Solanum lycopersicum: one gene and its partners. The protein of the gene in region 3 interacts with the protein of the main gene of each other region in a pairwise test. Links are inferred from orthologs where the notes say so. Each region holds a gene or a part of one and is shown on either strand. Other genes may lie near its edges.

Region 1 (10,166 bases), about 550 kb from region 3:
TTTCAACTTCCATCTCTTACATGCATCTATAATATAATGACTTGCCTGATGCCCAAAATTTTGTACATAGAGAAAGAGAGATTACTCTAATGAAACAATCATGAAAGAACATCCTGAGAAGACGTGCAGGGACTTTAGAATCAAAAAATGAAGCGTTGCGAATTGTTTGATAAATAATGTCTTCAGCATGAGGACATGTTTGATCATAGTATTGAACTCCAAGAGTTGCATTGCATAGAGGGGCTATTAACAAAACAAGAAATAAGATAGTAGAAAAAGGAGCCATTAGTTAAGGTTAAATTGGTAACTAAGGATTTAATTAATTAATTGCAACTTGAAAGGAAGATGAGATGATTGTGCAACAGGATTTTGGGTATATATAGCATAGAATGAGCAAATAAACAAATAGTATTTTTGGTGTTTGGTGCATGGAGATATTACTAATATGTACTTTCAAGTCACTCAATTAGTAAAAAGTGGGAAGTCTTATGAAGCTTATTTTGTGCTTTGAGACTAAGCATTTCCAGCAATGCTTTCAACAACATTACTAACAACAACTCCAAGAATAGTACAAATTTCTCTTCTTTCAAATATATATGATTTTGTTTCACCTGTGATGATTAAGAGATGAGTGGTTATTCCTTACCGTTTGTCTCAAAATTCATTTCTTTAACATGATATCAGAACATGGCTACTTGTTCTCCACTTTACATTTATGATATTGGACTCTCATATATCAAATATAATTGTTCCCGCACCAAATGTCTGGTCCTCACTAACGCCTTGTTTGGATGGTTGTTACACGTTGTATTATATTATTTTATATTATATTGTTAGTTTAAATACCATGTTTATTTTGATTGTTACTAAATTATATTGAATTATATTTTTCAAATATCGTTACGTAATATGACGAAAAGACTCATCTGATGTGATTTAATGTGATTGCGTCGTTAGCTTAATATATGCTTCCCATTTTGTCTTTATCTACTATTTAATAATTACATTTTATCTTTTACCGTACCTTTTTATATTAACTCTATCTTGTACCCTACTTTTCTTTAAAAAATACAATGCAATATATTTTGAAATAATACGTAACCAATCATGCAAACAGCGTGTATGTAATACAGTTAAAATTCAAATAATTAATCAAACAAACAGGTAAATTCATGTTATTATGTGTGGAGTTTTTCTTTAACGTAAAACACAAAGAAGATAGAAGTTTTCTCTGTTTTAGTCAAAGATGGAAAGAGTAAGAAGCACATCAATATATATATATATATATATAACATGAGAATATAGTTTCACTAATTAAGTCTGAGGAGGATAACGTATACAGTCTTATTAAGTTGCTTCTACTTTTTTATGCCATTTTAAGTGAATTATTATTGGGATTTGGTATACTTCTTAAGAAAAAATATTTAACGGCATGAATTTAAGACTATTTTTTATTATTATCCTTATAATTATTTTTAAATTATGTTACTTAAATTGTCATGTAAATAAGAATCTCATTAAATGAAGAATAAATATTACTGAAAAAGATCAATTCTCGTAAATTTTTAGTTAATCTGTTTCTTTCAGGTTGGTCTAAATCTTCAAGGCAAACAGTTGGTAAGGACTAAGAGGTATACACGTATATACATACATAAAAAAAAGAAAAAAAGAAACTTGTCTGTCCTGGATTCAAGGGTAAGAATGAATTTTTTTTCATTTTCCTACTCGATGTCTGGTGGCTGTATTGAAGTTTCGATAAAATTCAGACCGTGCATGATCTATTTGGAAATGACAATTTTCTCCATAATTCACAATTCAAATTCGAAACCTCTAATAATTATGAATGGAACTGTTCCACCACTAAATTAAACTACTAACTTTCCTTATAGTTGGCGTACTTTATAACAACAGAAGCTTTAATTATTCCAGGGTTTGTTGAATTAATTAAGAGTATATTGTGCACGTTTTACACTATATATCAAGTTAAGCTAGTATATAATAATATTCAGTAGGTAATTAGTTTCACAAGAAGTCTGATATATATGATGACTTCTAAAATAGTGTAATAAAACGTAAGGTTAAAATTGCACTAATAATATAAAAAAAGATAAGTACTGTGATAATGTTTTCTCTTTACTATTTTACTTTATACAATTTCTTTCTTCTCATTCCTTCGATTCCTCCTTAATCTTATCCATATATTCAAGTTACAAATTTCAAAATCCTCTAGCATGTCCTCGTCAATTTTAAAACTACTTCAAAAATTTCAGGTACCGTCAAATAATTTTTTGTACTTACAATCCATTTCTATAAGTAGGTTCGCCTCTGTGCGCAACTCAATTCTTTTTAGATTTTGTACATATTTATTCTTTAATTAAATTTGTTTATGCTAATACACTTATAAATGTGCAAAGAAAAAAGGCCCTAAGTAAATATTAGGGGAGTTAAGATGATATCCATTATAACAGTAGAGTACATCATATGACACGTGTCAGCTTTAGAGAGGTAATCCCCATATGACCACTAAGAGTACGCCACGTGTCAGAATATTGCCAGCCTGTTCTCTCGACCCCACCCCCCAAAAAAGCAGCAAACCTAACGACAAACCTGAAAGGTAGTCTTATTAGTAGCCAGTAGACCTCCTCGATTACTGAGCGTGGGGCCCACTCTCCTAGAACTGGGTCCCACTCTTCAAATGACATAAAATCTGCCCATAATTTTTATTTTTATTTTTGTTTGATGGTCGTTAACAAGTTTTATACGAAAAATTTTGAATTGTTAATACAGAATAAAGAAGTAAAAATCACTCTATCATAATCGTTGGTATGTGCCTAACACTTATACCCTCTATTTACCATTCTTATTTATCAAGAGAATTTAATTAATAATCATAGCCTTTGAATTAAAAAACCATATTTTAAAAAAAAAATTAAATTTTTGTATTGACTAGTATTCATTGACCCACACCCCTCTATCCATCTTTAGTGGGCCCTACTCTAAAGTCACATGTAATTTATGAAGTAATCCAAGTGCACGGGCCAAATGGACCCAAAGATAAGAACCACAGTACATACACAGTTACAAAAATAGCTTATATGTATTCTTTATTTATTGAAAATATATATTATATATTACTTTCTCTTCCGATATTGTTTGTCATGATTTCTATTTTTAGAGTCAAACTATAAAAACTTTGACTAACACATTTTTTCATCATATTAATATGTAAAAAATTATAATTTATAGTACTTTTCATATAGTTTTAGAATATCTAATTTTTTTATTTAAAATATCGAATTAATATGATCAAAAAATTAGTCAAATTGAACATGACAAACATTTTCTAAAGGATCGAGTTTATGTTAGTACAAAATTTACTTTTTTTTTAAGAAAAAACTACTAATGGATAGAGCACATTAACAAGCACTATAATGCAAAGAAAAAGTTGAGTGCCCCAAAACTAAGAAAACAGCAAGTTGACATTTAACATTGACGAACCCATGTCACAGCAGAGCAACTTCCTTTCCTAGATGCTTACAAGCAAAATGTTAAAATAATCTTTTGAAAAAACTAGATGCTTATCCAGAAGAGATTAACAAAAAAAGATAAATTAATGGGTCTTAGAACCCTAATCAGGATTTAGATGAGGAAGTTTGATCAATTTCACTGGAACCAGAACCAACCATAAACTGAAGCTCTCTCTTGTCATAAATCTCCAGTGAGAAATCTCTAAGCATCTGTGTAGAACTAGAACTTGGAGGCATAGCTGAAGCAACTGTGCTTAACTTGCCTCCATTGTTATCACTTTTTGACACACAAGCAGCAGAGACCCCTGTTGCTGCATAAGGTACATTAAGTATTGGAGTGGCCCACAACTGAGCCCCAGTAGCAGCAACTGTTGTATTAGTGCCTGGCGGTAGCATATAGAAAGTTGCCCCACCGGTAAATGCTGTGGTGGGAATAAGTCCATTCCCAGAGCCCACTGGCCAAACAGGAACAAGACCTTGTGGGGCAATGGGAGCCACCGGTGCAAAATTTGACGCCTCATAAAACTCGCTATTTGCAGCCCTTTTCCTTCTCTTCCTCGAGCTTTCTCCCTCGTTGTTTGACGTCGGTATTTTCAGCGTTCCGTTTACTGATACCGCGATGGCCGGAACCGTACCCGTTCCAGTAGCGGCAATGATGGCTGGCTCGGCGCGTTCTAGAAGCCATCTTATAGTTTCACCTTCCGATTTATGACCTAGTTCCCGCGTTAATTGGAAGATTCTAGCAGCACAAGCCGCCGGCATACGGATTCTCCGACCACGGCCTTCCACTTTCGTGTGCCGGTCCTTTGAGGATCTTTTCACCGGTTGTTTCTCTACCTTCTGCAATTGCATATTCATCCCAACCGACGTAGAAACTCGCAAATCATTCTCCTCCGGTTCTTCCTTTAACAACAGCACCCTATCAGTGGACGCCGCCGGAGACGGATCCACCCCTTCCGCATCGGTGACATTCCCTACCGCTGCAATGGTGTATTCATGAGAATCACCAAGTAACGGATCAATCTTACAGTCGTTCACCTCGTCATCTTCTTGTTCAATGTTTTGGTTGTTCTCAACCCTCGCCATTTTTCAGAAAAATCCCAAACACAGCTGCAAATAGCTGAAACCCAAAAAAATTTAGAGCTTAAAAAAATAAAAAAGGAGGATTGAAATAACTACAGTACCCCACTGTGTACTTAATGAAAATTGACACAAGGAGAAATTAATATAGAATTACGCGACGAAATTAAAAATTTTATTTGGACATATGATATAGAATTTTAATGTTGTGTATTTTTTTTTAATATAAATATAAGAATCTCATAAATTCTAAAATTGTTAAAATAGCTTTAATTATTTATTTTATATTATTAAATAAATAAAAATCATAAAATTGTATAATAAATTATTGCAAAACTATTTGTTCTTCACTTAATTAATTGTTTCATCAATATATTTGAGTTAAAATGAAACATGACGTGAAATTATATTGGTGAAGTGTGAGTTAAAGTGACTTATGTTGATGAGAATTAAATTTTTTTATGTCAGTGAAATTAATAAATTTTAAAACGTTATGACGTGATTATAAATTTTATTTAAATGTGAAATAATAGTTAGTATATAGAAATGTGGGGTTGTTTGAACAAAATATAAATTCGTGAATTAATTTTTGTATTTAAATAACTCAAATCATGATATTGTATTCTCATATGATTCTATACCATGATTTTTGAAGAATATGATATCAAATCTCATTATATGAAATCACGAGATGTAATCAGCATAAAATCATATGTCTAAATGCTGATTTCATCTCACGATACTATATCACATGGCCAAAACGCCAACTAAATTTAATTAGAACTCTAAGAAAATTATGTTAGGTAAAAAGTTTGACAAGACAAAGATCAAACTAGAGCTTAATATATTGATGTTATTTTATTTTGATGCCTGATATTTTTTAGGTGAAATAATTTATAATATAATAATTAAAGATATTTATTTTGATAATTTAACCCTAAATTGTGAAAAAAAATAGTGTGAAGTTCAATAATGGGCTTCACATGACGAATAAAATCTAAATCTATCAATTGTTATTTTCTTTGCTAGGTTCTCTTGCTCTTTGGATTTCTTTCCTTTTATTCTGCCCGATTTTCCCACATAATTATTAATAGAAACAAACACATGAAAAATAAAAAATTATGATTGAGTGTTATAAAAAATTATTACATGATATTTATAAAAAATTATTTGTTCATTAAAGAATATAACTTTTAGGAAGAGTCACCTCTGAAATTTTATTAATATAAAGCATTTCGGGAAGTAAACTAAAAAAGATCTCCGTAATAAACAAAACGATTTGTTGTATGGAATTATTTATACTTAACCCACTATTTACATGAGGAATATCTCTTTAAAGAACGCAATTAGACACTTCAAAACCATCTTCTTTTGCAATTATATTTCTTACTATTTTTTTTAATGACGATATAAATGTTAAAAGAATCAAAATAAAGTAACACCGACCATTTTGATAGTTTTTTTTTGAACTAAAGTTTATATATCCACCGATCAAATTGTTAAGGCCTTTTTGGACATTGCCACCTTTATATTATCAAATTATATTGTTGGTTAGATGAGGTCTTAACATAATGCAAATAGTTCGACATGTTTAATAAAGTTTGGTATACTGTTATGGACTTTTGATAAAAGTGCATTAGAAAAGAAAATGCGTATAATTTTGTATATTATTCATATTTTGTGTTAAATCATTGTATATGTATTTGGAGCAACATAAATTGTGGTGCATTAATGAGAATGTTTTTGTCCTTAATCAGATGTCTCGGGTTCGAACTTTAGATATAGAGAAAATTCTATCAGGAGGATCACCCCCCAAATAAGCCCTGTAGTGCTCAATCTAAATTTAGTCGAGACTTCAATATGAGCGTCGAACACCGAATGAAAATTTTTTAAAAAATTATCTTTAGTTGATATATTAACATTAGATATACATTCTATTTTGTATTTGTTGTGTAATTAATACATAAAAATTTATGATATTAATCTATGAAATTTAATGCAATTATTACCACGGTTAAAGAAATAATTATCCCTATATTTGAAAAAATCTTTTCTACCGTATTGTAGATAATATTATTTTTGTAAACTAATATTCTTTAATTTTCTAAAAGAAACTTATGCATTGTATATTATTTTTAATGTCTCCAACTTTATAGTGCAAAAAAGTAATTTCAATACTAATATCACCATTATTTGTACACATGCTATATATATACTTAAAATTTATATATATATATATATATATATATATATATATATATATATATAATTGATTTAATTCAACTTTTTATTGAATTCTCTTTTAATTAAAATAAATATCATCAATTTTTAAATTTATATTGAGATTAAATCATCAAATTGATTTGATTTTTCAATTTGGGTAGCTGTAGCCAGTGGACCACCACGCGGCCGCCTGGAAAAGTGTGCTGGGGCCCATTCTCCTAGAAGTGCCCCACAAGTACATTTGTATGTTTGATAAAATAATTTTTAAATTAAATTTCAGAAAAAATTAAATGCAATTTGAAGTATTTATTAGGTAAATTACTTAATTATTTGAATAAAGTTCTTTTTAGTTATGCACATCACTAAAATGCCTAAAATTTTATGAATTATTGAGACTAGCTGATGTATTGAATAAGGTAAGTAATTAATATGTACTTGATATTGAAGATCACACTCAATTATTGTTTTATTTTTTAAATTGAAGTGAAAGTAAGGAATAAAATGTTTTATTATATATTCAGATATTTAATTTGAATAAGTCAATATTTAAGTGTTTAAATAAAATTGATGGTAATTTAACAGGATATTTGTGTCCTAAGCCATATGATGAATTACACCCAATGACCTTATAAATTGGTGATCTCTACGTCAAATTTTAAAATTTTACTTTCAAATATTTACGCTTAGTCATTAAAATTTGATTTGATTTTCAAATATTTTAATTTTCCAAAAATTTGCTCAAATAACTTTTCAATTTCGAGACTTTCAGTTATAATACCCTTTTTAATTAAAATGTATATTCAAACACAACTTTAAATTTCATATTTTTATTTTTTTTAAAAAAAAATTCTAAATTTATGGCCAAATGGGGCTTAACCTAGGACCCTTTGCTTGTTTCATGGGCTAAACTCTCCGTTTAAAAGGGATAAAACTACCCATGTATATATAAATATTTTACAACAAATTTAATATTCAATAGTTAATAATTCACGTATTGTGATTTCTACGTAATTAAACTTAACATAACTAAACCCTATACAATTAATACCTGCATAAATAAACAATGCATAACTAATACCTGTATAACGAAACTCTGTATAACTAAATCCTACATAACAAATACTTGAATAACTCTAACTAGTAAGTTTTCATCACCCAAGTATGCCCTTTTATTCAAGGAAACATGTTGATAGCCAAAAACTCTAGAAATAGTTTTAACTAATTAATATAAAATATTATAAGTATTATTCATAAAAAAAATAGGACTAAGAAATACGTTACCTGTTATAGCATATTAAAATACACTGTAAATTGTAATATAAAATTTTTTAAACTAAATCAATAGATAGATCAAGTATAAATTACTTAATGACAATATGGCTCAGTGCTTTTCAAAAACGTTTTATGCATCCATAACATATCCACAAAAAATATAATGTACTATTTTTGAAGGATCGAATACACATATTATTAAGTCATTATTAATAACTAATTATTCATAAAAAGTAGGACTAGTAATTAACCAAAAAAAAAAGAGAGATACGCTACCTGTTATAACACGTTAAAATACAGTACTGATAAATGTAAAAAAATCTTAAACTAAATTAATAAAATAGATCAAGTATAAATTACCTAAAGATTACATGGCTCAATGCTCTTTAAAAACGTTGATGCACCACGTCAGATCCACAGAAAATATATTGTACTACTTTTGGAGGATTCGATACGCACTTACCGAGCATGTTGTGCAGTAATAGAAACATCATTTACAGAATTTCCAATACTAGCTGATGATGAATAAGAATTTCTTGATCTGAATACAAAACCAGGTTGTCCAGGATTAGACAATTTTGTGTCATTGCAAAGCATGAAGACAACTTGAGACATCATTGGTCTTTCATTTGCATATGATTGTACACATAATAGTCCAATTTGGATGCATCTCAAAACTTCACTACTTTCATACCAATCCCCTAATAAGGGATCAACAACATCCATAGCTTTTTCATCATTCCATGAATCCCAAACCTGAAAAAATGGAGAGCAAAGTTAACATTTCTGGTTAGTGCCGGAATCAGGATTTTCAATCAGGGGATTCAAGGAAAATACAAAAACGTCGTGTCCAGGGTTAAGGGTGTCCAAAATTTCATATATGTTCAACGAAAGAATGTGTTTCTATTGGGCTAAAATTACTCGAAGATACTTTTAGCATGATGTGATAGTTTGTCTGCGGACATTATAAGTTATCTTTTTTCTATTTTTCATGTGGGACTTTGTTCAGACACAACCAATAGTTTCTATCATAGCTTTCTAAAGAAAGAGATTCAATTGAATCCCCTTCTAATGCATGTAGCGGGTACAGTGTAATGGTCGAAGTATGCACAAGCCAGCCCTGACTCCACCTTATAAGGAAAAAAAAAATGAACATTTCCACATATACTTTTCTAGAGCAAAACAAGATACATACTTTTAACTAAAGGTGAGTTCTTAATGAAGAGATGCCTTACATTTCCAACTAAATTTAAAGAATGATCCTGATTATGTGTAGTGTTCTTCCCTCCAGTAATGATCTCCAACAACAGAACACCAAAACTGAAAACATCAGATTTCACAGAAAAATGCCCTTCCATTGCATATTCTGGTGACATATAACCACTGAAATGAACCAATAGCTATGTCAACATCCACAATTTTAATATAATATAATACATAAACGTATGATTTAACTTAGCCTCAACTGACATCTATGAGGTGTGCACAAGTATAGACAGTTAAATTTGTATAAAGTTGAACAAGTAGACACATACGTCCTACATGATATAATACAAATCAGTTCGAGTGTATCTCATGAGAATCGTCATGTAGGATGACTGGTTTGTACTTGTTCAATTTTATACAAGTTTAAGTGCGTACTTGTGCACACTCGAAGTCAGAGGACAGAGATGCTAGCTGAGGGCACGTTGCCTTTAAAGAAAAATACACACATGTTCATACATAAAAGTGATGCTTACTATGTTCCAACGACTCGATTCGTATTAGCTTCAATTTGGTCACCACCAAATATCCTAGCAGTTCCAAAATCTGATATTTTCGGGTGCATTGAGGCATCTAGTAAAACATTGCTGGCTTTTAGATCCCTGTGTATGATTCGTACTTGTGAGTCGTGGTGAAGGTATTGTGGAGTTTTATTTGCTCTAAATTTCTTACCATAAATAGGTTTTCCTTGTAGGAAAAGATTTTGGATTGACTAATCCTTTTCTTGTAGGAAAATGTTTAGGTCCATAAATAGAGGCATGTTCCTTCTAACTTAATTAACATTCACAATGCAGTTTAAAG
Region 2 (10,476 bases), on a different chromosome or scaffold from region 3:
TAGATACTTATTTTGATTCAATATTGTAGCCACTCAAGTGGTCCTTATTTGCCTGTGAGACTAGTGGGGTGACACTTATTTCCAAAAGGTTCACATCAGTGTCTTTTTTTTCCTTTTATTTCTCTTGCTGCTTAAATTTGCATTTACTGTAAGCTGACTTTCTTACTTGTTTTCATGTAACTAGAGATAAATGTAAAATTTCATTCTTGGAGTTGAATAATCAGTCTCACTATATCTTTGCTATTGACTCAGTTAAGGTACATAGAGGACCACAAATAATACTTGTCTTTACCATCCATTTCCTGCTAGTGTTGGCACATATGGCGGAACCAGAATTTAATTCAATGCACTGATGGACATTAAGCATAGTGAGAGCTTAGTGCACCAGGCTGCCTTTATTTTTATAAATGTAAACTAACATAATATCATAGGTTAAATTACACTGACAGTGCAAAAGATTTTATGCTGTCAGTGCTTATTAGTTCCATTACTAATTACTGTAACCCTTTTAAAAAGAAAAATTAAATCATTGTTCTTCTAGTTTAGTTTTAGAATATACAGTTGAAATTCAATCGAAGTCTGTACTACTGCACTTAATGATTCAACTAATACTACAAAACTTTCATCTCACAATAGTGCTCTGAGTTAAAATACATAGTTGAATGCAGAAACTTGTACTATTCAACTCTCTTTTGAGAAGTCCACAGAGTTAAATGAGTTGGACTTGTATTCAATTTAAACTTATGCCTTCTCAAATAGGTAGTGAAGACCAACTAGGTAGGCTGCTTCCTCCATCTTAAGATTTGAGAGTGACATTTGTCCTTTTTTATAGTTGCCTTTCTATATGAACAGGCATTACACAACTAAAAAGCAACATACTTTAAACTTACCATCTCTTTTACTTGTAAGATTATCTCAAAATGGCATGTCGGAAAGTTTTAGTTATTGTACTTATTTTCTTTCTTCAATCCCTTCCTCTACTTGTTTCAGTTGAAGCAATTAGCACTGCTTCTCTACCTCTCACAAACACTACTGAAGCCAAAGTAAGATGTATTGAGAGTGAGAGGAATGGCCTATTAAGAGTTGAGCAAAGTCTCACAGATCCCTCTGACCACTTGGCTTCTTGGATTGGCAAAGAATGCTGCATCTGGAAAGGTGTTTCTTGTGACGTACAAACTGGTAATTTCATCAGGCTTGACCTCAAAGATACATCAGGCAATTGCTATCAGAAGAAAATGGGATATCTGATTTCTGACATTTCGACGTGCTTGGGTGGCAAGATAAGTCCTGCTTTACTTGACTTGAAACATTTAGAGTATTTAGACCTTGGTGAAATGACTTCCAAGGACTTGCCACTCCCACTTTCTTGGGTTCTCTTGAAAAATTACAATATCTTAACCTCACCCATTCATCTCTCATTGGTATTCCTCCTTCATTTGGGAACCTGTCGAATTTACAATATTTAAGCCTACGTGCATACTCCTATCCTTACGCTTCTGTTGAAAGTAGTTGGATCAAAGATTTGCATTGGGTTTCTGGTTTGTCCTCTTTGAAGTATCTTGATCTTTCTTATGTGAACCTTTCTTCGGCAACACATTGGCTTCAGTCTTTTAATAAGCTGCCATCTTTAGTGACTCTCAGTTTGCAAAACTGTGATCTTCGCTATATCCCTTACTCCTTTCCCAACTGGAATATGACTTCCCTTTCTTATCTCTACCTTTCACGCAATAACTTTGTTAACTCTGTGTTGCCTAAATGGTTGTCTAATGCCACCACCCTTGAGACACTTGATATAGCAATCAACAACATAGAAGGCCCAATATCAAATGTTGAGTGGGGTAAACTCTGTGATCTGCAGGATTTGTATCTAACACAGAATAAACTTAACGGAGACATAAGCAGATTAGTGGAAGGGTTGTCTAGCTGCAGCAACACGACCCTAGAGTTCTTAGGCCTTGCTGGAAACCGGTTGACAGGGCAGTTTCCAAATTCACTAGGACATTTGAAGAACTTAAGGATGATTAGTATATCTTTTAACCAGATATCTGGCACGATTCCCACATCTATTGAGCAGCTGTCAAGGTTGGAAATTTTGGACTTTGGACAAAACCAACTGAAGGGAGCCTTACCTGAAACCATATTTAATCTCACTGAATTAACTCAGTTATTCCTTGCAACAAATAATTGGGAAGGCAATCTTTCACAAAATGACTTCGCAAGACTCCATCAACTGAAGTTTTTAGCCATATCATGTGGAGAAAGGTTTTCTGTCAACTTGAGCAGTGAATGGATTCTTCCATTTAGCCTCACATATTTCGAGATAAGGAAATGTGCTTTGGGCTCCAAGTTACCGACATGGCTGAAAACTCAAAAGCAGCTTCGTATTATTATTCTCTCCAACGGCTCCATTTCAGATCCTATACCTCCTTGGCTTTGGACAATGTGCTCACAGTTGCAGTTTCTAGATCTATCAGATAACGAGATCGGTGGCAATCTTCCAAGGTTGGTAAATTTTCTGTCATCCCAAAGCCGGAGAGTGGACTTCTATTTCTAGTTACAGTGAAGGTGTTGTGGTGGACTTAAGTTCCAATAGCTTCCATGGTTTGTTACCTCTTTGGCCAAATGTTACACATTTGAATCTTGCAAACAACCTGTTTGCAGGATCAATCCCCATAAACATTGGTCATGTGATGACAAAACTCCAAGTTATAGATCTTTCTGGAAATACATTTACAGGATCTATACCATTTTCAATAACAAGAGTGAAGCAGCTAATGAGATTGGACCTCTCAGACAATCATTTGTCTGGAAAGATACCTGACTGGTGGGCTGATTTGCAACAACTTCATGTCATAGATTTGTCTGAGAATAATCTTTCAGGTGGTATTCCTCCTTCATTATGTTCACCACCTTCACTTTTTTGGTTGAGATTGAGTCGTAATAACGTCTTTGGAGAACTTCCAAAATCATTAAGCAACTGCAAAAGCTTGCTTACACTTGATATTGGAGAGAACAAAATCAGTGGCATCATACCCGAGTGGTTCGGAGAAAGTCTATTATCTTTGCAAAAGCTTAGCATGACAGACAACATGATTGGTGGACACATTCCACCACAACTTTGCCAAATTTTTGGCCTTCAAATTCTTGATCTTTCCCATAACAATTTGACAGGTTCTATCCCTTCCTGCTAAGGAAATTTGAGAGGTCTTAAGTCCGTCAAATTTTACAAGTTGCATCCAAAATTACTACTATTTCAACTATGTTTTTACGCCCAAGATGGTGTTGATTAAGAAGGGAACAAGGATGACATAGTGAATCTTATTGATCTTTCTTTCAACAATCTTCACGATGAAATCCCAAATGAAATTACAGGTCTGTCAGCCTTGATGACTCTGAATTTATCTTGGAATCAATTATCAGGAAGAATTCCAGAGGACATAGGGAGCATGAAGCAATTGGAGACACTAGACCTTTCATCTAACCATCTCTTTGGTTCAATCCCATTGAGCATGACTTAAATCACTACATTTAGCTATCTTAACTTGTCATATAACAACCTTGGTGGCCCTATCCCATCGAAAAACCAATTTGGAACCTTCACTAATCCTTAAGTTTTGAAGGAAATCCAGAACCCTGTGGGAAACCATTGATTACAGATTGCTCTCCACCAAGAAAAAGAGATCTCAAGAAATTTGAAGAAGAAGAAGATGATGATGATGAAAGGTTGTGGTTTTTAATGAGCGCAGGAATAGGTTTTGTCATAACATTTTTGGTGACGTTTAGCAGCTTGACAATAAAAGAAGTCATGGGGATACAGTTACTTCCATTTCTCAGAGGATTTGGAGAAAGAATTATCAGGTGCTGTATTTTTTTCAAGGCTTCCTTGTTTAGTATTTTCAGAGTCGCAAGGAAGTATGTGTTAAAACCAGGAACTGTTTCTGCTTAACTATGCTTTTAGTAGTTCTTTAGCTGTATTGTTTTTCTCCATAGTACTTGATTTTATTGCAGTAAATAAAAAAGGATGACTCTGTTTCTCCCTGGAATTTCTTAATGTTTTTTACTTTTACAAACACTATAGCTTAGATCATGCACTATGGACGTCAACGCGCTCTTCAGCTGTCTTGCGGATAGACCTTCTCTGGACAACCTAAATCCAGGGCCTTTAATACTCCTGCCTGATTCACAATGAACACTAAAGAAACTGTAGCCAACAACTTCAATTCGAGATCTTTTGCCCTGGAAGTCTCATCAAGTACTACAGAATATTCAAACTCTCACCTTCTTATATATGTGTGAGAAAATCAACATTCATAGAAGGATAAACGATACAAAATACAAATGTCAGGACATTTTAACATTAAGAAATGGATACATAGTGGTCAAGGATCAAACAGATAATCAGTCTAAGGTTTGCCAATAGCAGAAGCCTCAGATTGAAGGGACAAATTGTTAATCCTCTCAAGGGCTAGAATGAGAGCTTGGGTTCCTAAATCACCCTCACCATGAGCTTTAAGCGACAGATAGAGCTGTTGAGCCAATGCCAGCCCAGGCAATGCGAGACCCATGTTCTGGCATTCCCTCAAACATATCCCCAAATCTTTGACAAAATGATTCACATAAAATCCAGGTTCCAAATCCCTGTTAAGTATTCTGCTTCCATACAAGTCTAATGATTTTGAGCCAGCTGCGCCTGTTGAAATGGCATCCACAAAATGATTCAAATCCAAACCAGCTTTATGCGCGTAAATTAAGCCCTCGCATAGTCCCACCATAGAGGAAGCAATCACTACTTGGTTCCCCAATTTTGTGAACTGCCCTTTTCCGGGGGCACCCATGTAATAAACTTTGCCAAGAAGGTTAAATAATGGATTAAGCCTTTGGACAATGGATTCCTCTCCACCGGCGAAGATGGATAAAGCAGCATTCCGAGCTCCGCGATCTCCTCCAGAAACAGGGGCGTCAATGGCGGAGCAGCCAGCGGCAGAGGCTGCAGAGTGAATTTCAACAGCCAGGGAAGGTTCGGAAGTAGTCATATCTATGATGACGCCGCCTTGACGCAGACCGGAAAGAGCGCCGGAGTTTGGGTCGAGGATTACCTGGCGAACGTCAGAAGGGTAGCCAACGATAGAGAAAACGACGTCGGATTGAGAAGCGACGGCCTTTGGAGTGTCAACCCAGTGGGCTCCCATGGAGATAAGTTCCTGAGCCTTGGATGGAGTCCGAGTGAAGACAGTGAGGGTGTATCCGGCGTTAATCAGGTGGGCGCACATAGAGCGGCCCATTACTCCGGTACCGATCCATCCCAGACGAGTATTGGATGGGTCAACGGCTGTTGCCATAGTACGGCAGAGATGGGTGATAGTGGCGGCGGTGACGGTGAGGATTGTTTGGGGCGAGTAGTGACAATGGTGGGGATGTAAACGTAGTAGCCGCACAAATTTATGAAAGGAAGAAGATATATTATGAATCATAGAGAATGGAAGATTTTTATTTTCTTTATATTTGAGAGATGTATTATTTTCTTGGCTTATATACTTCAAAATAACCAAATTCTTACAGCAACTTTTTAATATTTTAATCTGTTTGGGATGAATTACTAATATTTGCTCTTCCAGTTCAACCTGAAAATATACAGAATAATTCCCCACTCAGTAGAAGTAGCTGAATGATGTGGGGTTATTTACATTTTAGTATACAAATTAACTGAGAACCTCAACATTTCCATGTCCTTTTGATTACAGTATTGACTTAGGCAACCAGATAAGCTAAGAAATGCATTAATGAAGTGTAATTCTGTAGGATACTACAACGGGACCAATATCAATAATTAGCAAATTATTGTTTACAGAAAAACGTCTATAGTTACAACATGTAGATCTTATCATCAGCTGAAGTAAATGAAAAACTTGGAAGAAGATTGAAGATATTGCATCTTTGCAGGTCAAGCTTAGGGTTGCTACAAGGAAGTCATCGCCTGGGAATAATCACTACTTCCCAGTTGGCTTATTTGTATGAAGCTTTCGCCAATCAACTTTGTACCCAGTCACTGAAACACTTCTCCTTGTAGTGCATCTCTCTTAGGTGGAAGAAGCTGATGTGATGATGGCTATTCAGAAGTTGAAATGCTGTTTCTGACTTCTGATAACCCTTCCATTTCCTCATTCAGGAGACCCATAGTGCTATTCCGGCAAGTAAACCAACTCTTGAAATGATAAACTGAATGTTGAGACTCATCGGACATTTATTCTTGGCCTCCTATGTCTTTCATCGTCTAAGTAACTATCTGATTGATCACCATAATTACTATTTCTTCCTCGTTGCTGTTTATAAGATTCTTCACGTCCACGGCTTCTATAATCATTATATCCATTATCTTGGCTTCTCCTGCTGCTTCCACGTAAGTCTCTGGGACTTCTTTTCATGTTATCTCGAAAAGAGGATCGTTTGTCTCTTATCCCATCACCACCAACTTCGGATGAGTCCCATCTGCCATTTTGACCAGCCTTACCGCCTCTTTGCTTATTTTTGTGAAATGACCTACCTTTGTTGCTCTCTGAGTCAGAGAAGGGCTCATCTTCACTATAGGAGCTGCTTCTCCGTCCAAATTCCTTTCTTGATCCCCATTTATTCCCTTTATTCTGCTGACTTCTGAAATCCCTATCATCGGAGTCGGAGCTGAGGCCATAATCGTCATCAGAGTCAAAACTCTTGGCACCTTTGTTCCTAGATCTTGGTTTAGAATAAGAAACCTGACTAGATCTCATATTAGTTTTAATTGGAAGCTCATCATCTGTGTCAAAATCCACTTCAGCATCCTCAGAACCACGAAACGCCCCTTTCTGATGTCTCTGTCTAAAATGTGCATCGCTTGCGGGGGAACTGTTCCTTCTACCAACAAGCAAAGTGTCATCAACACTATCAATATCTTCAGATTCGGAGTTGACCTCAATATCCGAGAAATCTATTTTAGAACTTCTGTTTGCTCCATTACTGTCTATCTCATAGCTGTCGACATCATCTTCTTCATCATCAAAGTCATTAAAGCCTACCCCTGGTTTCCCAGGTGCGGGGTATTCAGTTTCGTAACCTTTTGGAGGCCTGCTGCTCTTGTGGAAACCATCTTCATTGCTCCTGGAAGTATCTCTTCGTTCTTGCCTATCCAGGGGAAAATCTTCACCCAGTTTCCGAGAATCTGCAGTCTCGAAGGCAGCAATGTCTGCACCATCTGACTCATCATCATCAAAATCAAAATTCCATGCATTAGAAACATCTTGCCGGCGAGATATTTTATTCATCTGTGTCCTGGATCCTTGTAGCCTCTCCTGCTGTTGAGCAACCATATAGTCATCAACTGGGCGCTTGCATTCACAATGAAAACATACCACATTTCTCCTATAATTCAAGAAATTACACCTGCCAATTCATAAAAGGAAACAATTGTTTTTGTCAGTGTCACAGAAAGGGTAAATCAATATGTAATAAACATATCAGAAAGTGAAAGCCTCAAGAGAAAAGCCTTTCAACAAATGTTTTTCTGAACATTTTGCAACAAATGGAAATTGCCAACTTAGACGAGCATGTAAATGAGTGTACAAGTTTAATAGGGCATATATGCAATCATTAATAGAATTTGCAGCTTGTTCCAGGCACAACAGAGAATAGTGATTGGATAATGAAGAAAAGAAATGTCCTCATCAAGATGAACTTGTTAAACTTGCCACTCCTATTAGATTCAAGCCCAAGCCTAGGCATCTATTGTTGTGGTGCTTGAATAAATATAGCAAAAATAAACTCCATTTCCCGACTATGAAGAGAAGACCGAAAAGTTGCTTCTTAATAGTCCTCCTCATCAAGATGAACTTGTTAAACTGCAACTCCTACTAGATTCAAGCCTAAGCCTAGGCATCTATCATTGTGGTGCTTGAATAAATTTAGCAAAAATAAACACCATTTCCTGATTAATTCAACATATTGCTCTGAAATCAACAATATACTCATGTCAGCAGAAGAGAGAAGATTGATAAGAAAAGGCAAGTAAAGCACATACTGGGAACATTCCCACTCTCCTGGAAGCAGCTGTCTCTTCGGCCGGTTGGCATCACATTGTAAGCATATGGTATTCTTCGCAAAATTCATGAAGTCACACCTGGCAATGTAACTTGTTAATGATGTTTCAACTCTAAATTTGACAAATTTTGTTCAATTTATTTCGCTAACACTCTTAAGTTCATATCATAAAAACCAAATACAAGATCAACAGATATAAGAGTCAAGGGTGAACTAATAATGAAGATAAGACAATTCATCACCACGCAATCTGCCCTATTTGAGGTGAAGCCCTGCTTTGCTTGTGCTGGACATACTAAACGGTCACAGCAGACCTTTCAGGACCATCCAACGGAAAAAAGTTGATGTCGAAGCACATCATGCCATACAGTGCCTTACAGATATCAATTGGGACTGTCTTCTGAACAATAGCACTTGAACAGCATAGAAAAGGTCCAAATAAAGTTTTAAGATGGATCAGGAAATATAACTTCATTATATTGAAAACCCTATTGATTCCCAAAGAAGGATGACGGAAGCTTAGGGCAGAAGAAAAGATATGAAACCTACTTTGGACACAGCCAATCTCCTTTTTTCATCTCAATGTCATCACGTCCGACTCGTTTCCTCGGAGGGGGAGGTGGCTGCTTCACCTTTGGAGGTGGTTTTTTAAAAACTGGAGGTGGAAGATTTGGATCTATTGGAACAGCACTCAACTTCACTATTTCGTGAAGCAATTTGCGAACAACAGTCTTTACAGATTTCTTCTTCATAAGACTCTCATTATCAACTGATCCATTGATTGCATTAAAACCAAAAGTCAATAGGACACGCATGACATCCATTGTCCTTGCTTCATCCTCCTTATTGGTAAGTAAATATGCCCTTTCACAAGAACTCCTCAAATTGCAAGAACTGCAAACCTGATACAATCATGTATTTATTTCTTATCAAGTAATGTTTTCATTGATAATAACAAGGTCATCTTGGCCATATACAAGAGATATACCAAAATATAATCATGCAATAACTTGGATTGGTCATTGAATAATACAGATAGTGAAAGCCCAGATCATAGTATACTCAACAAATCATGAAGTCATCATAGTGAATATTCACCGTACAAAAGAACAATGTGCACCTCACTTTAGACTTTTAAAAGCTTCTTACACTGGTTCATGATGTTACAGTATGTCCAATACGACAGCTATCTTCGGATGCTTTAAAGATACAATCTCAAGCACTCCAAGTCCAAGATAAACATTACCAGCAATTCAGCTAATCTGAAACCATCTCTATATGTGAATCAGGTGAAGAGCTTGATTTTTCTTTAGATCTTAAGCTAATACATTGTTGAATGGAGTAATTGCCTCATATAAAAGCATAGTCTGCTACAAAATGAACAATTTTATTTAGTTAATAAAGAGCATGTGGTGGAGCAGAAAGTAACTTTTCACATTGGAGAATAATATAACCTCTTGTTTTTAGTTTCATTTTGGTGCACTACCATGAGGTTCCTATTCTCCATATTGAGTACTATTTCTCAAGGAACCATTTTTCATGTAGGCTCTCTACTTTTTGGTATATTGCTTGTACACAGAATATTCCTATATTATAAAGTTAACACGAAAACTAAAGAATTTTAACATTCTATATCAAAATCTTGTGCTGCTAAGTTTAGAGTTTATCCCTTTCTGAAAGCAAAGTCACTAACAGGAGATCTTGATGCATTTTGAGAACAAGAAGATTAAAATAGACAATGCTTTTCAGAAAATGCACGAAATGACAAGAACTGTGAACTTCCTCCATTACATGGCAAATCTCGTCAAGACTTCACATTCATCAAGATAATAAATTGAGCCAAAACAAGAAGTAAATACAAGAAATGGGAATGAGAAACCACATTTCGTAAAGAATCAATAATGGGACTTCTAATAAGACAAGAAATACATATTTACAACAAAGAATCAAAACTTACATCCCCTTCGTCCAGATGAACGTGTTTCCTCAATAACTTGGAAGAAAAAACCACCTTCTTGTCTGTACTAGGGCATCCATAACCAACCAAAATTTGGAGATCCTGTCTCGACAATGACCTGAAATGAATTGATCACCCTATGCATTAAGAGTTATTGTCTGTCACTAGAATGTCATGGCACACTCTAAGTGTCCTTTAACAAACAGCTCAATTCCTTCCAAGTTAAACCGTAGGACGGGGATACAAAAGGTGAGGTTAATCAACTAAAAATTGATGGCTTCCGACTCAATAATCAAAACAATCTAATTATCAGCAATGATTTTGAGAGAACAGTAAAAACTCACTGTGGGGTTACTTGGTGGCTGCCTCAACCTCCAGTATGTAAAGAATCTGTTCCCCATCTAGTAATCCCCTCAACCATTTCCCCCTCCCGCTATATATCATAAAAAATT
Region 3 (10,666 bases):
ACCAATAAAGAAAAAATATTAGATGGGACACTAGATGGCATTTAATCCATATAAAGTGAAAATCTCTAATAGAGCATGAAAAGTGGTCTTGCTAAACTAAAACTCAAGTCTTAAAACTCGTAATTCAATAATATTAGTGAATCCTCATTACACTGGTGTCACTGCTCCCCTTCCCCGCACCACCAAAAATAAATACTGCCCAAGTAAAGACCCTCAAGCATCCAAGTCCCACCAGCAGAAAAACAACTAACTTATCCACAGACGTTTAGTAACATATACAAATGCCCTGTATTCCTGAGAATCACTGTGATTTACTCACCTAAAGAGACATCAAAATGTATGGTCAACAAAGACAGACCCTGAGTCGGGCAGCTATTGAAGGCAACTGTGAGCTGAACTACAAGAATAACCGGTAGACCATTAAATAAGGGAAAAAACAGAGTATCGTACAGTCCTCAACTCAAACTCATCGAATATATAAATCCAAGGGACGAAAACTGTATAATAGAACTTGCAAGGTTCAGAGCAAGAATTAAAAGCACTGACGCCGTGTAAAATGTAGAAAAGCCATTGTTAAATTGTACTCAACGAACAATAGGGATTAGGGCAAAATTGAATTAGAATAAAAAAATCATAAAGCAGATCGTACCTAGGTTAAGCGGATGTTATCAGAAATTAGGGTTTCACCGACGGAACCACCGCACAACAACGCCGAGTAGATGAGATGAAAAGCCGACGAGTTAGATGAACTGATTGATGGTTTCTCTTTATATAAGGTTAACGATTAACTCCATTAATGATGTTCAAAGACTGAATAACATATAAAGTAAATTTTATTTTTAAAAAAGAATAATAATTTTACCAATCAATTCACATTAAACATTAATTAATTTGACACAATATATATTAGTAGGACAATATCGTTATAATTCAAATTTATCATATCATAATTTCTATTTTTAGAGTCAAATTAATACGCAAAAAATTGTAATTGATAGTATTTTTCATATTGTTTTAGAATATCTAATTTTTTTTATTTAAAATATCAAATTAATGTGATCTAATTTATCTTTGAAAATTAATCGAATCAACTTTCAATAAACGCAACATGACAAATATTTTCAAACTGGGGAAGTAATTTTTAAGCTCTTACATTACCATTATAAAACGATAATAATAATAAGTGTTTATATTAAAGTCGAATTAGATATTGTAATATGAAATTTGAGTACTGGCTTTTGGTCTCTTTGGAGACATTCAATAAACTCGTAACGATACACAGAAAATTAATATGGTCCCTACGCAAGAATGATATGACAAATTGAAAAATGGTCCTAGAAGAATTTTAAAAAGAATTTTAAAAAAATGAGTACTTCATTTTTTATTAAATATTTACTTCATTCAGCAATTGCATTGAATATTTTTGCTATAATAAGAGACTGCTCAATAAAAGGAGAGTAAATGCAAAGCTTTTGAAGTTTTTGTTATTTTATTTTTCATTCCGTACATATATTATAATGTTGTTTGCAATAGGAATAGGCAAGTTATATATCTTTTTAACAACACTAGCTGCTAAATGGTCATATGATGTTTTCGATACGAATATTATCGTGTTACTTGCAATAGGTTTGAGCAAGCTACGTATCTTTTTAATAATGCTACCTGCTAATTATTACGTGATGTTCTATACATATATTATCATGTCTTGCAATAGGCTTGGACAAACTATATATATTTCTATATAATAAAAAAAATTAAATTTAAATATTTTTAGTTAATATTAAAAATATCTCAATTTAAATAATCTTATAATAACTTAAATAAAATTTATAAATAATATGTAATTATACATAAAAAAGAACTTTCAAATTGTATGGACCAAAAGCAAAATAATAATAATCTCTAGTTTTGAGTGATTTATAAGAAATCTACAATGAAACTAGACTAATCATTATTAGGTTAATCCTCTTTAAAAAAACTAATTTTTTATTTTGTGTACTTGTTAAATTTAAAATAACCTTTTGGATAGATCTTATGATATTTTTAATCTATCTCAACGTAAGGTCATTATAATAATTTAGAAATGAAATAACTTTAAGTAATTATATTATATATTTTATATGATTATCTATTTTATTTCTTCATTTATTTTCTAACAATTAAGACCAACCAATATTATTATTCCTATATTTTCCTTACTTACTTATTCTTCAATTTTTCCTTTTACCCCCTCCATAAAGTTCCCATCATTTTTTATCTTCGGCTGATTCAAATTTACAAATTATAATCTTTGATTTGAAAGTTACAGGTTTCTTACAATTGAATATTTAAATTTCTCTCAAAACCATTAAATCTTTCGCATTATACAAAATTTATTGTGGTTTATTTTACAAAAAGATCAAATCTGTTTTTTTAGAGTCTTTTTAAAATTTGTGTCATTACAACAAGGCATCATTATATTGAAACAATATAAAACAATTTCGAAATTAGCTTATCAAATTCAACGCAATGCTATCTCGATATCGTTATATAGACTTATCAAATTAGTGAGCCATGTTAAATTATCCTAACTTAACATTTAGAACTGCTTTTGGACATGTTTACTTTTTCCATTAGGGAAGCTTTGGTTTTCACTTAACATTCCTAACAGTAGATCTGTGTGTGCAGTATTTTGTCTTGTGAATTACATGCTCGTTGAAAGAACCTCTAGCGGAGTGACATGACAAGCTACCATCCTCAGTTTATTAAAGCAGTCTAGAAGTCATCTTCAACTTTCCTCTCATAACTCCAGCCACTACACAACAGTTAAAAAGTCTTTGCGTGATCAATGATTAATAACAACGATATAAATAAGAAATGTTTGCAGATCTAGAGCATTTCTCTATAACTAGTCTGTACAGCATTAGCTCTTGGACTGTTGGAGCCTTAAATGTGCTTCTATTCAGTAAATAGAGTCCCCCCCCCCCCAATCCACACACCCAACCCCACCTCCTGTACCCAGCCATTGCGTACTGCAATTAGAGACCACAAATGCAACTTAAAAGACACGGCTACACACTCAATATACCCTGGAACAACACAAAACAGAGACAAGTGACATACCACACCCCCTATCAAAATTCGAAGAATGGAAACAGGCTAGTCTTTTCATCCATTTACAGGGTGTCTTCAAATCCTTGTAAAACGTGTGGTTCTGAGACGCTACAAACAAGTAATATGACTGAACCCTAAACATACACTGCAGAAGAAGAAGAAAAAAGGCGGAGCACTAAAAGCACCAGGGAATATTGAAGAGAGCAAGCCACATACAGTCGGCCTCCAAAGCCTCAGGAGAACTAACAGCCTTAAGGAAGCTTCATCCTAAGTAGAAATAACCTTCAGAACGTCTTCCTGATTTAGACCTGATCAATGGGTTCTGTCCTGTCTTGCACAGCAAGCCTCTCTGAAACATCAGCAAGTGATTTTAGGTTGCAATTGATCAAAGCTTCAACAAAATAACATGTCTCGTCTTTGGTGTTCCCTTCGGGCACATCCACTACAAATGATTCAAGCACTAGTGTCCCAGGTCTTCCATCAATCACCTCTGGGTGCACAGATATGACAGAGGAGTAGTTCTGGAAAAGATCAAATAGAAAAGATAAGGGCAACATACAGGGCTGAATATTTAATTGAATGTAGTCAAAACAATACTAAAGGTCGGAAGAAGCAAGCACAAAGTATCTCTCTATCTTTGCAAGATCAAACTAACCTGTCATGTTTAACCTGCTAAAATAAAACCAGATCATTCATCTAGTGATTCCTTAAACGAATCCAAATACATAAAAACTTGCCTTCACAGGACATGACATCAAAGAGCAATCAATTTGCAATATTCCCCAATTAAAGATAGTGCATGAAAGTCATTAACCCAAACGAACTCACAAGTTCAGACACCTGCATTGTGCTACATAACATACCATCCTCCCTTTATTAATTATTACCAATAAGATTGCAATTTAAATTGATTTTTTCTTGGCATTCTAGTCGACCTTTCAGAAAAGGTTATCATAATTCTAAAAGCACATGCTCGGCTCTCTACTAAGAATAATCTCAAAAGCAAAATAAATATCACTTTGTGCTGTACTGATCATTCAGTTTCATAATGTGCTATCATCAATTAAAAGTGTTGTTCTATTACAGAAGAACCCAATCGTTTTTGCCAAATCAAAGAATCAATGGAGTTGGTTCTCTGCATCAGGAAGATGCTCACTTATCTAACCCTCAAATGCCTAGCAATTGAGCTATTGTCTTCAGTTCTCAACACACAAGTCAAAGGGGGCATTAAAAGGTATATAACCTGCCATGGTACAATCACAAAAAGCCCCCTGAAAATAAATTCAATGCTCTAAAGCTTAATCCCGAAAATCATCAATCTATAAGAGAACAAATTAATCTTTAGATGAGAAACATGCTAATTTTTTAGCTTGCCTAGAATACCAGACTGCAATATCCATTATTTATTTTTTTTGAGAAGGTAACAGTAGAATATCCATTATTTTGCTGACAGGTTGTACGGTCTTTAAGGGAAGAGGATTAGTATTCTGCAATATCACTATCACAAGAAGTACCAATATCAGATGATTCGAGCTTCTCTAAAAACATATATGACTAAGCACTTAAAAATAGAACTGTAAAGTAGAAATTAGAAGTATATTAAGTTATTTATTAGAAGTATATTAAGTTATTCAAGTTAGAAATTTATTTTGGTAGTCTAATTAGTTTGGAGGTAATCTTCTACCATAGAAATGATCATGATCTGAGAAAAAACCAAATTCAAGGGTACTTAATAACAATAAAATTTAAAAATAAGAAAAAATAATTGAAAAAAGAAAGGAACAGCCAAACAAGAGAGAATTGTTTAGTACCCTAAGTCTGTGATCCCCGCCAACAATCCTGACACTTAAGATGTGCTCTTCATCATCAAGAAGCTCCAATCTCTCAGTACTCGTTGTTGCAGGGAGGCCCGACTTGACATCAACTTCCCTAAGACTACCAATCCCAAGATCTCCTTGCACAATGCACCTGCTGATAAAGGGCTTGTACTTCTGTGGCTGATCAAACCGCCTAACCAATGACCAAACCTGATAAAAAGAGGGAGAAACAACAACCATTACGACTGGTTAAACACAAAATACAAAATGCAAGTTCCGTTCACGTTATCAGAGATATTAATTTTGTCCTGCTTGCAGTAATATCAGTTATCCAGCACTTCAGTCAAAATAAAAAGCATAAGGCAAACAGGCAATCGACGTGGAGAATAACTGCAGATGATTCATTTGTCCCTTTTGCATAATCAATGAACATATCAATTGCTAATACATTTAGCCTTTCGTCTTTGTTCACTATAAGCACTTGTATTAGGTAATAGGTAGTTCTTCAAGGAATATTTTAGTTCACCCCTAGTTATGCAAGAGTTTTATAGCAGGGATCTTTTCTTATACAACTAACCAAAAGATTAGTTAGAGTCACTTTCAACTTTCATGAACGGATAAACCAAACAGCTAAAAGATGATACAATCTTTGCTTGACCTAAAATAGGAAACAATTCAAATCTTATCCGTTTCATCCTTTATACAAATTTGACCAAGACAAAAAACTACAAAGGAACTCGATGATCTGACTACCAAAATCAAAGCCTAGTGACGTCGTATTTTTTCAGGAAAACAGAGCTGAGAACACGATCAATACAAAATCAGAAACCATACAATCATCGCAAATATAACAAATCTAATGTTTACCTTCAAGATATTTAAAAGTATAATCATCAATCACAACACAGCTGAAAATAAATCAATCGATCTACGGAAAAGAAAAATGCAGTAAACGCATTCAGAGAGAGAGAGAGAGGAGAACGAACAAGATGAACAGGTGCTCGAATGTGCTTGACTAGAAATGAACTGCATTGATTCTCCTTAGGTTCATGAATATGATGCTTCCTTATATACTCTTTCTCAACACCGCAGAATCCATTAGCGTTCATCGTCGCTTTACTTTCCTGCAAAACCTGTAATAATCAATGAACGGCGTGTATTTCTCTCGCCGGTGACCGGAGAATCACTCCGATGACGTAGCAAAGATCTCTCAGAGGCAGGCTAACGCGTATTGAACTCGCAAGTGGACGAGTCGGACTCGGTTTGCTTGGGAAGTCGCCACCGCCATTACAAATAGATCTCCATTATCGATTTAGTACAGTTATTTAATTATCTCACCTGGAATATTAAAACATTTTCGGCGTCTTCTTGCTCTTTGTCTTTTTCCATTTTTACCCTTCATATTCTCCCTATCTACCCGATGAACCACTCCTTTTGTCCATTTCGGGAGTTGAAACTTATGCAGTTCCCAAATTACCCCTTTATAAGTCTTTTATTTACGGGATAGGATTTCTCAGTTTCAGCTCCCTCTTATTGGAACCAATAAAAAATCTCTAACAGCAAAATAACTGTTTTTGTCTTTATCCTTTGAGGCATAAATAAATGCTAATTTTATATTTTGAACTCAGAATTACGATCAATAAATCGAAATAATTACCTAAATAATTAAAATTATTCAGTTTGTAATTTCATATTATTTATATATTTTAAGTAGTTAATTATGTTTCTTTCTAAAAATTGTAATGTTTGGGATTAACATTTCATATATTTTAATTAATTTTACAGAATACATGTCATCTCCCATCAATAATAAGTAACAAATATAACTCTATTCACTGAGTTAGAACAGGCGCAAAGAATCATTTAATATTTTTTTTTGATTTCGTTAGATTAATTATTTAAACAAACTTTTGATCCGAAATAGAAATAATGTGTGAATAATATTTATCAGTAGACGTACAAAATAGTCAAACAAATACATATAATAATATTGATTTTTTTTTAGCTCCCTATTCTATGAAAAATTATTAAAACACCTCTACTAATTAGAACATTTCATCTAAATATCTTTATACACCCTATTTTTAGCAATAACCTAAAAATATGATAAGTCCAAAATTGTGTTCTTTTTCAAGCGGTATAAAATGATGGTTATCAAATATAGAAACAACAAGATTGTGATCAAATCCTTTTAAGAATACATGAAGAAACATTAATTATTCAATGTAAATTTGAATTTAAAATCTTAATTTATAAGAAGATGTAGTAATAATTATTAATTAAATTGTTATATTTGAAATTATAGTTAAGATTCGTTGTCAATTTCTTTTCTTTAATGTTGCATACTACCTTTCATCGACATATTACTCGCTCTGTTACAGTAAACAAGCTAAATGGAAGATCATCAAAAGATGAGTGAACGGTCAACCAAATCTTCTCGTTTGAAAAAAAAAATCTTAAGCGAAAATACAATTGATATGAAATGAGACAATATCACTAGCTGCATAAAGGGAATTTGGTTTGGTTTTCTTAATCAAATAGGTATGATATTGGGTTCATTTTTTTAATATCACTATGAAATGAAAATTAATTTCATAAATCTCACAAGGGTCTTTTTTCATCTTGCTAGTATTTTTTTTTTTTACTATTAAGCTTTTTGGAGTTTTAAAAGTATTTATGAAAAAATAATTAAGTTATTTCGAGTAAACTCTCTATCTTAACTTTGAGCCTATTAAATGAGATTTAAAGCCCCATGTCCACCACAACTTTAATGTTTGCAAACACCAAAAATTAAAACAAAGCATTTATACTCCGATTACTTTATAATATAATTTTGGACCCGTCAAACCTTAAATACAAATATATTTTACCTAGTATTTAAAAATTAATTATATTTATCATTGTTCGTTTTTTTAAACTATAAAAATATCTTTTAAATTTAAGAATTTCAAATACATCAATTCAATATTCTAATGTCGTATTCTGATTTTGAATACATAACTCAACGTTATATGTCATATCTTGATACAATATTTGTTAAAGAATGACAAAAATTTCACATTGTTGGTTAATGAAATGGGCGGACTTCTTATAAGATTTGGACAATCCTCCTCCCTTTGAGCTAATTTTTGAGATCTGAGTTAAACCAAAGATCTAATTTCATAATATTCTTGTTAATATAGGACATATTTATTTCAATACATTACGCAACGTCTCGCTACGATAAAATAAATTTGATAGAAAATATGAAATGGAAACCTACTCAACTATAAAATAGAGCATAAAAACAACGTCCAGAACATTGTTTTTACTTTTTAAAAAAGCCGCCGCCAAAAGTTACGGTGGCGGCACTCACGTTTTTCCTTCTTCTTAACCTTTACTTTTCCTTCCTTTGACTTCAAGATTGCGGCTTTTGATTTTGTCTTTTTATTTTGAAGTATTTGGCTAAAATTATTTAATAACTATGACTTAATTTTAATGAATATTTTCGTATTATAAAAGTGAACAAAAATCACTTTTACACTATTTAAAAAATTACAAGATTCATTTTTTTTTTGTCTATTTTAAAAAAAAGAATCAAATCACCAATAAAAAATGTGTTAAGTTAAATGAATATATGTACACACGATTAAGCTAGTCAAGTTGGATAATTTTATTTTTTTCTAGAATTTAAGGATTAAAATATTCAGACAAGATATATTTAAATTCTAAATATCCTTTTGTTAAAAAATTGCCAAATACAATTTCATTTTCAAAAATTTCAAATAAAGTAATTATTATTGAATTCTCACGACAAAACACGTACATAATTTTCACTAAATTGCCAGTATTTTTATATATAGTATAAATGTGAATTGCATTGTCTATATATATTATAAGTACTATATGTTTTTTTTTAATTAAAGAGAATCTCTAAATAGTTGCACATAATATTTTTAAAATAGTTTTTTCTTTTGCATAATCTTTCAAACTATTAGATCCTATTGTATAAATATTTCAAAATTCATGTATTATTTGTTGCAAGTCAATTTACTTTATCATGCAAAAAAAAAACATATAAACTAACAACAAACAAAATTTAAATTATGAGGATAAAATATTTATTTTTTATTCATATTCTTATTCTTTTAGATAACATTGATATTCTCGATTTAGCTAAGACATGATCAAATATAAATATATATATATATATATATATATATATATATATATATATATATATATATATTATTTGTTAAATTAGTTTCTTAACAAAAATAGACGCATGAAGGATGTTTTTTTGTTATTTTTTAAATAGTATAAGAATTTTTTTTATTCACTGAAATAATATAAGAATGTACATTAGATCTGAGTCATAATTGAAGAATGATTTTAGCTAAAAATTCCTAAATTTTTTTTTTAGATATTAAGCTTCGGAGTTTTGACGTACCTTGTGATTTTAGATAATAAAAAAAATGTTTTCTTTTGAATACTTTTTACTTATCTATTGATTTTAAGATATTACACTTTTGTAAGGAATTGAACTAACTTTAATTTTGAATTTATTAGAAGTAGTTGAGAAATATGAAGTTTGTCTTTATCAATTCGAATCAAAATAACCAATAAGATAGCCACAATTTATGGCATGCTAATTTCTAGGCATATAATTGGCTATTATTTAAAAAGTGGGGACATAATTAAGTTGCAAGTGAGGCCAATTTAAGTTTTTTTTGGTCAAGTCTACTTTATCATTGGCTACTAAAATAAGTATAATTAGTAAGTAGAGTGAGAAAGGTGAAGTGTTTTCTTTCTTCTTTTGACATTATTTTGAAGTAAAATGTTTTGCTTTTTTTTTTTGTTTTTGGTTGATTTAGAAAGTATTTTTTAAAAAATTAATATTTTGTTTTGAAAAAATAAGAAAAAAAATTCTAGTAAAAGTTAAAAAAAAAATATTTTTTTGAGATTCTTTTAATTTTAAATTTTATAACAAAAAAAAAGTTTCACTATCATTTCACATCATTATTTTCTTTCTCACTTCATTACAACACACTCCATCCTAACCTCTAGCCCTTTAGTCCCATTCCCATACCCCACCACCCTACACCCCTAATTTTCATCTTCATCATTTATACTAATATTTATTTTAATTATATATAAATATTTTAAAAATAATAGTTTCTACTTATCAACCAAATAATATTTCAAAAAAAAAAAAAAGGAAGCAAGAAATCACTTATATTTTTCAATCTTATACTTTTATTCTTATTCTCTATTCCTTTTCATCTAGGATCATGTCTTTATTAAGCTGGACTTGTCTTAGTTTTGTCTTATTAACTCTCTTAGTTATTTTTCAGTCTATCTCTACCTCTCCTAACTCTAGTACAGTTAACCTCTCGCACCTCCTTTTCATATACTCGAACCATAATCTTGTTTCTCTGTTTTTGTTCTGCGTCGAAAACCACTCATATCTTGTCATGTATAACCATCCTCACACATCCTTTTTAGTTTCCTCATCTTTGTTACATTTATCTTCTGAACATTGATGTAGGTGACACATTCTTATCATATAATCCCCCCGACACGAGCATTTAGATCACCCACTACGCTCCAATATGATATACAACATCATCATTATCAATCTTTCCACATCTCCTTAGATTATTGGATCAAGATACTTAAAACTTCATTTCATATGTATTACTTGTTCGATTATCATTTTCACCTCCACCTCATGTGTTATGTCATGCATTTGAAACTTTCAGAATCTAAGACATGTC

The links.
Region 1: the proteins of abscisic acid receptor PYL8 (region 3) and TCP21 interact in binary tests that used the Arabidopsis thaliana proteins (3 or more experiments, as listed by UniProt). The link is inferred for Solanum lycopersicum from reciprocal best matches to the Arabidopsis thaliana genes RCAR3 and AT5G51910.
Region 2: the proteins of abscisic acid receptor PYL8 (region 3) and probable 3-hydroxyisobutyrate dehydrogenase-like 1, mitochondrial interact in binary tests that used the Arabidopsis thaliana proteins (3 or more experiments, as listed by UniProt). The link is inferred for Solanum lycopersicum from reciprocal best matches to the Arabidopsis thaliana genes RCAR3 and AT4G29120.

What each region holds. Positions count from the first base shown.
Region 1 is NC_090802.1:2,185,646-2,195,811, reverse strand, and holds TCP21 (TCP transcription factor 21), read right to left. Parts: upstream 4,655-10,166; 5' UTR 4,614-4,654; coding exon 3,633-4,613; 3' UTR 3,465-3,632; downstream 1-3,464. Other genes in the region: peroxidase 66, read right to left, coding at 86-286; G-type lectin S-receptor-like serine/threonine-protein kinase At1g11410, read right to left, coding at 8,562-8,858, 9,338-9,485, 9,842-9,930.
Region 2 is NC_090800.1:85,411,454-85,421,929, reverse strand, and holds probable 3-hydroxyisobutyrate dehydrogenase-like 1, mitochondrial, read right to left. Parts: upstream 5,709-10,476; 5' UTR 5,472-5,708; coding exon 4,404-5,471; 3' UTR 4,264-4,403; downstream 1-4,263. Other genes in the region: receptor-like protein EIX2, read left to right, coding at 921-1,370, 1,556-2,502, 2,555-3,171, 3,292-3,372, 3,421-3,518; uncharacterized protein, read right to left, coding at 6,231-7,413, 8,048-8,146, 8,617-8,969, 10,025-10,142.
Region 3 is NC_090802.1:2,736,759-2,747,424, reverse strand, and holds abscisic acid receptor PYL8, read right to left. Parts: upstream 6,411-10,666; 5' UTR 6,020-6,410; coding exon 5,897-6,019; intron 5,121-5,896; coding exon 4,905-5,120; intron 3,615-4,904; coding exon 3,396-3,614; 3' UTR 3,095-3,395; downstream 1-3,094. UniProt on the Arabidopsis thaliana protein: Receptor for abscisic acid (ABA) required for ABA-mediated responses such as stomatal closure and germination inhibition.